Mus musculus: one gene and its partner. Each later gene encodes a partner of the first gene's protein in a complex. Links are inferred from orthologs where the notes say so. Each region holds a gene or a part of one and is shown on either strand. Other genes may lie near its edges.

Region 1 (4,144 bases):
CCGAGCTTCAATCTCTTAGATGGACAATGCGGATAATACTGCTGTATCTCCACAAAGAATAATTCCAAAACTAAACAGTATTTAGAAATAAAGCAAACACTGCAATCAGGCCTACAAATCTGAAGAACGTCTTTAAAATTTGTTTCAAATACCATTTTTTTGTGCTATTTGTTTTTCTCAACCGCAGAAATCTTTTCAAAAGAAAAATGTAACTGTCTACATTTTTCTTTTAATTACTTAATATCTATTATGTATGATATGTATAAGTACCTTATATATCTATCCACGTATACATACATACATACATTCATACATATATACGAGACGCACTCTTTCAAATAGATGCTTACAGCTCCTAAAGTTACCTGCTGGTGTAGAATAGCTGTGCATTTGGCAACAGTTCCCTGAGTAAGAAGATTAACATCTGAGAAGGAGAAGGCACTTTCCCCCAAGAACTCCCTTGGTACCCAGCAAATGACAGCAAAATGCCATCGCTTGGCATGGCCCTCCTCCCTCCCTCCAGCCCGGCTTAAGAGCCTTGGGCGCACTAAGGCTCCTCTTTCCTTGGCCTTCACTCCACTCTTATTAACCTAATAAGCACTACAATCCGCAAGCTGCTGCAGGAGGCTGCCCCATCTTGACGCTCCTTCTTCACTCAACCAGAGCGTGAACTCAGGGGGTGCGGTGGGGGTGGGGGCGCTCCACTTTCCCAGACACCAAGGAGGCTGGAAACTTTTATTGACTCCCCTCTTAGGGAAGCCACTAACTGGGAGCCCCTCGCACCTACCTGAGTAGCCGGAGGACTCTTTCCCAAACCTCTGCAAGATCCGCCAGCCCTTCGGCAGCCCCAAGCTAGCGCTTCCCTAAAAACGCAAAGGTTCCCTGAGCTACTCCTGGCTGTGGGTTGACACGCCCCGACCTCACCTGAGGGCGGCTCCGCCAGGAGACGGTTCAGGAAAGCTTCTGGGATGGTGGACCGGAGAAGGACTCCGCAGAAAACACAGTCATAGCCTGCCACGCTCGGACTCCGGGGCGGCCGCACCTTAGCAGCCGCTCCTCCCGCCTCCCGAGCCTTCCCCCAGCTCTTCCAGGGCGGCCGCAGACTCCCGCATTGCACGCCGGGAACGCGCCGCTCTTCCCAAAAACTTCCAATCCCAGGATGCACAGCCGCGACGCCGAACTGCACTCTGGGACGTAGAGTCCTCATCTCACGGCTCTCCCTCATCCACAGTAAGGAGGGCTTGGAGGGGAAATAGAGCCGTAAAGCTTTTTCCAGGGTCGTGAAATGTAGTCTTCCCAGGTATCCCGGGGCCTAGTTCCGGTCTTGGCAGGCTGGGGGGCGGGGAGTGGTGTCGCCTAGCAGCCGGCGCCGCTTCGGCTCGGTCGGGAAGAGTTGGCGGGAGCAGCCTGAGTGCGCGAGGACCGCTCTGGGAAGCGTGAGGCCGGGGCGGTGGCCGAACCCGGAGGTGGTCGCTGTAGATGAGTGACTGCTGCTGGTGGCAGGTCTTGGTTTCGGTGGGTGGATCCTCGTGAGCCGGAGCCGCTTAGTGTCGTTCACAGGATCGTAATCCCGAGGGACAGGGTGCAGCCCTACCTATCCAGACCTCTGTCGCTCTTGTCTGCAGTGTCGTCTCGGCCTCCCTGATTGAGCTTGATTCCGCAAACACTTCATTTAGCTCAGTCTTTTTATCTACTTTAAAAATCCTCTGGTCCCCTTTCCTCAGAAGGTTTTCAAAAACTTCCAAACATCTTGGGAGTTGGTACCATCATTGATGGTAGGGGACTTGGAAAAGGGGCCTCGGGGTTTTAGCTCCGAATTCGTCTTAGCAAGAAAATAATAATTTAGCGTGTACATTATCGTATAGCCTGTGTCAGGGGAACTAATTTTCGTCGAGGCTGTTTGCCTCTGCATCTGTTTTGCAGTTCAGGAGCCATAGCTCTTAGCCAGCACCTAGAGAGTTAAGTAAGACCGCTCATGATCATGTAAACACTGCAAGGCCATTTTCCTTGAAAATGCTAAAATCCACCTGCTTCTTTGTAGAGGCTGAGAGACAGTGAAAGAATTCAAGATGCCACCTAATATAAAGTGGAAAGAATTAATCAAAGTTGATCCAGATGACCTGCCACGGCAAGAAGAGTTAGCAGATAAATTATTGATATCTTTATCCAAGGTACTTAATAAATGATTTGTACACAGAGCCTGATGTACAATGTCATGAATTGAAATTGCTTCTTGAAATCATTGAATGCTATAACTGGAAGAGTGCTTGTATTTAATGTGCAGGGTATGAAATAGTCCATTTTTTGTGTGTTTGTTTCCTTAGGTGGAAGTAAATGAACTAAAAAATGAAGACCAAGAAAACATGATACATCTATTCAGAATTACCCAGTCTCTAATGAAGGTTTGTAGGAAAGAGTGTGTAGGAAAAGAAATATTTTTTAGGAGAAACATAAAGAGTCATAAAGAATCATATGGTCAAATAAAATACAAAATCTCTCCCCTATAAGCTATACATGAAATGATAAGAGGATTCTAGATTCTTCATAAATAAATACTGAGAAAGAATATGTATTCTTTACATTAAGGTAAAAGCATATAGAAAAATATTTGGGGCCAGTAATTTGGGATATACTGTTCAAGAGTTTGAGAGTATATTTTGGTTATCAGCATTTTAGAAGGGAATAAAGGTTTTTAAATCATACTTGGTAAAGAAATGTACTTATGAAGGCAACATTAAATGTGTTGTATAGACTGAAGGGATGAGAGCTGATTAGTTCCAATTATAAGAAGGAATTACTAAATTTATTAATAATAACAATTGGGATAGTAAAAAAGATATTGAAAACATTTTAAGTAATGGCTATAAAGTTTAACGGAAAAATCAGATATAATTCAAAGTCTTGCCATTCTGGAATTTCTAGCCTTATGTATTTATTCAACAACTATTTACTGACTGTCTCTGTGTGTTAGTCATCGTACACACTACAGACTGAGATAGCAAATTCCACACAGTTTCCATTCCCACTGTTTACATTACAGTGTAAATAATACAGATTCTTCCCCTCTCGTTTTAATGTTCAGATGAAAGCCCAGGAAGTAGAGCTCGCTTTGGAAGAAGTTGAAAAGGCTGGAGAAGAACAAGCAAAATTTGGTAAATGTCTTGGGAAAAAACTACTGTGGTTCCATTACTTATTAGACAGTATAAAATCTATCCTATTCTATAACATATGTATTCAATTTATACTGAAAGATGCTACATCCTTGTGCAGTTCCAGGTACTGGCCTGAGTGCTGTGGTAGGGGGTGAAGAAAAGAAAACACACAGACACTTAGAACAGTTGTTTTCGGTTGGACCAGGCTCTCTAATGGAGCAACTGCCCCACCCCAGAAGCTCACTGTCTGTATTATATCCACTTGACCAGAGCAGTGGAGTTGTTGCATAGCTGAACATAAAGTCGAGTGAGTGCATACAGATAAACATGAAGGCAGGGTTTCTGCTGTTGAATAGGGAGGCAGATTTATCAAATCTCAGTAGGAGTAGTCTCTATAAGGGAGCCATAAACATTAGGGGGACATTTTCTGCACACCCTGTCAACATCCACAGTCAGACGAGGAGGGAAGGCTTTGCCGTTTGCCATAGGCCTGAGACATTTGGAGTTCCTGACGTGGCTTTGCCCATGTCAGTAGTACACACTGACTCAGGGCTCATGCACTGAAGCCTTCCTCTGCTCTCTACATGAGGCATTTCTAGAATGCATATTTTATGCATTTAGTATATAATAATTACTTTCCTGTATCTGTTAAGGATGGAATCTTTTACAGAGAACAGTACTATTTTATTAAAGTTTACTTAAAATCTGATTATAGGAAACTTAACCAATTAAAACATTTGTGTTTTTTTTTAAATAGAAAATCAATTAAAGACAAAAGTAATGAAACTGGAAAATGAACTGGAGGTATATATATATCCTTTTATATTTCCTTGTTTTTGAATTTTCTTGTAGTTGTTATTAATTGCATTATTTTAAATTGTTTTCAAATCCTCCCAGATTGGAAAATACAAGATTTTGTGCTCATGCGTTTATTCATTACACAGAATGTGCTTTTGTGACTTGAGTTCTAAGAATTATGCATCCAGTGAAGT
Region 2 (2,824 bases), on another chromosome or scaffold:
CTCTCAATGTAGACCAGGCTGGCCTCAAAATCAAGAGACCTACCTGTCTCTGGCTCTCCAATTTTTTTCTTGATACAGAATCCCACTGCTCCCTGGGTAGAGTCAGAATGGAAGCAGAGCCTCTGGAGTGAATGACTTTAATCATGTAATGCCCTGGAGCTTCAAAGTTTTAGGTCAGTGGGAATTAAGTTAGTTAGTTTATTTATTAAAGATTTATTTATTTTATGTATGTGAGTACACTGTCCATCTCTTCAGACACACCAGAAGAGGGCATCGGATCCCTCCCATTACAGATGGTTGTGAGCTACCATGTGGCTGCTGAGAATTGAATTCAGGACCTCTGGAAGGGCAGTCAGTGATCTTAACTGCTGAGCCATCTCTCCAGCCCCTAGGACTTAAGTTTTAAAAATGATATTCCCTTCTAGAGAAATAGCTCAGTGGTTAAGGGCACTGGCTACTTTCCCAGAGAACCAGGGTTCAAGGCCCGGCATCACATGGTGGCTCACAACCCTCTGTAACTCCAGTTCCAGAGAATCTGATGTGTTCTGACCTCCACAGGCATCAGGCTAGGCACATATACACAGTGCACACTCATATACAGAAAATAAGCAATAAATTAATAAAATATTTAAATATGACATCCCTACTCAGGGTAATTTTTCTCTGTTCTGTCTGTCTGTCACACCAGATACTTCCTGAGGTGGAGAAAAAAACAAAGCAGACTGCTGAAGCCAGGAAAAGCAGTTACCATCTTGAGGCTGACTGTGGGGACTGTTTTTTTTTTTTTTTATATAGGTACAAAGGGAAACCTCTGCCAGCGAAAGATGCCCCTTGGCATTAGTGTGGCCTTGACCTTCCCATCCGCTATGATGGCTTCCTATTACCTGCTGCTGCAGACCTACGTGCTCCGCCTAGAAGCTATCATGAACAGTATCTTGCTCTTCTTTTGTGGCTCAGAGCTGCTGCTTGAGATGCTCACGCTGGCCACCTTCTCCAGGTATTACTGCTGAGGGCTGGACTCCCCACCCAGAGAGGGATGCATTGCTCTTTGAAGCCTAGAAGATGTAGAAAACTGAATGTGAGGGTGTGTCCATGGGAATGCTTTTCTGACCTCCAGTAGGTAGAAAAGTTCTCTGTATATGTGTTCTGCATCTGTACATTCATCTTTGTGTATACACAAATGTTCAGGTGTGTGTGTGTGCAGACCAGAAGCTGATGATGTTAAGTGTCTTCATAACTTTACACATTATTAGATTGGAGAGTCTTTCCCTTGAACCCAAAGCTCTTCAATTTGCTTAGAGCAGCTAGCCAGCTTACCCCAGGAAACCCATTTCTCCTATGGGTGCTGGTCCTCATGCTTGAGTGGCAAGTACTTTATCCACTGAACCATCTTCCCAGGCCCCAAAGCATCTTTCCTAAGGAACATAGATAGTCTTCTGGTTCTTTGGAATCAAGAGACATCTAAAATGCAGAGTCCAAGCTAATAGTTGTTAGTCACTAGTCTTTTTTTTTTTTTTAATGTCCAGTGCTGTTTGACCCGCCTGTATGTCTGTGTGAGGGAGTCAGATCCACTGGAACGAGAGTTACAGACAGTTGTGAGCTGTCTGTCACGTGATGCTGGGAATTAAAGCTAGGCCCTCTGGAAGAGTAGCCAATGCCCTTAACTGTCCTGCCATCTCTCCAGCCCTATTCATTGGTCTTTAAACAGTGTCTTTCTTTTTGCCTTTAGCATGGACAGGATCTGAAGTACAAGAATTCCAGCTGGTGACAACACATATCCATCTGGTACTTCAGCCACACTGGTGAAAAGTGGTAGGTCGAGCTAACCTGGGAAAGGTTTGTGTGGTTTTTCCTCAGTGCGGACATTTGGGCGCTGAGCACCTACCTGAGGCCAGTGGCACCATCTTTAAAGCGGGATCATCAGCAGGAGACTCTTTCCTTTTGTTGTAGGGAGGGGCAAGGCTGTCCCCATCTTGGTGTTTCTAACAGCTTCCTAATGATCTCAAGTTCTCTTCTGTGGTCATCATGGCCAGAGCACCTTGTGTGGACCTTCTAGTTTTGTTTGGCTTCCAGCAGAACCTGAGCCACAGCACTCTGTGCACGTACATCTGTCCTACATGACCATGGAGAGCCTCATAATGGTGGGCTCTTGGGCTGATTCCAATGTGTGTTCTCCACGCTGCTCCACCTGCCCCCATCCTGCTCAAAGAGATGGTGATCTAGAACCCATTTAGTAGTTTATAGTAGTATTTTTCTATTCTGATCATGAAGCAAACACAAAATTTTTAATAAAAGTATTTTCTGATACAGGGCTGGTTGATTTTCTCCTATGACACCTCTTTAGATTTCCTTTCTTCTAAGTGAGGGCACAGACTATCCCAACAGTGTTTTCTGAGGCTGTGTTTAGTGGTAAGCTGGGACACAAAGACACTCACGGAGTGTCCCACCAATCCTTTCCTCTCATGCCCAAGTTACAGCCTGAATCCCAGAGCACTGCCTGTTTGTCATCTTCAGTTCTTTGGCAAGACTGTAAATGCTCTTCTCTGCAAGTCTCCTTGTATCTAAATTCTTTCCAGCATAGGCTATGCATAATTAGACATTGAAAAGTGTATTCTAAACCTGACCAAGATCTTTAGAGTTAACTTAAAAGAAACATGTATCGGTCAAGATCTTACTAAGCATTGCCATGTATTTTATCCCAGGAAGCTACTATGAGTAATGAAAGAATCTACTTCAGGAAGCCTTGAGGTCAGTCTCTGTGTCAGGAGGATCCTGGAATATGTTTTCCTAGACTGCCTTTTTTTAAAAAGAAAAAAAAGCTTTC

What was found. Proteins that work in one complex are often made in the same cells at the same time.
Region 2: Cep290 (region 1) and Tmem216 share a complex: the UniProt entries of both Homo sapiens proteins name them as parts of the tectonic-like complex. The link is inferred for Mus musculus from reciprocal best matches to the Homo sapiens genes CEP290 and TMEM216.

The regions. Positions count from the first base shown.
Region 1 is NC_000076.6:100,486,238-100,490,381, forward strand, and holds the start of Cep290 (centrosomal protein of 290 kDa), read left to right. Parts: upstream 1-1,344; 5' UTR 1,345-1,515; intron 1,516-2,041; 5' UTR 2,042-2,069; coding exon 2,070-2,171; intron 2,172-2,324; coding exon 2,325-2,402; intron 2,403-3,082; coding exon 3,083-3,152; intron 3,153-3,909; coding exon 3,910-3,956; intron 3,957-4,144. UniProt on the Homo sapiens protein: Involved in early and late steps in cilia formation. Its association with CCP110 is required for inhibition of primary cilia formation by CCP110.
Region 2 is NC_000085.6:10,549,946-10,552,769, reverse strand, and holds the end of Tmem216 (transmembrane protein 216), read left to right. Parts: intron 1-795; coding exon 796-997; intron 998-1,729; coding exon 1,730-1,745; 3' UTR 1,746-2,309; downstream 2,310-2,824. UniProt on the Homo sapiens protein: Part of the tectonic-like complex which is required for tissue-specific ciliogenesis and may regulate ciliary membrane composition.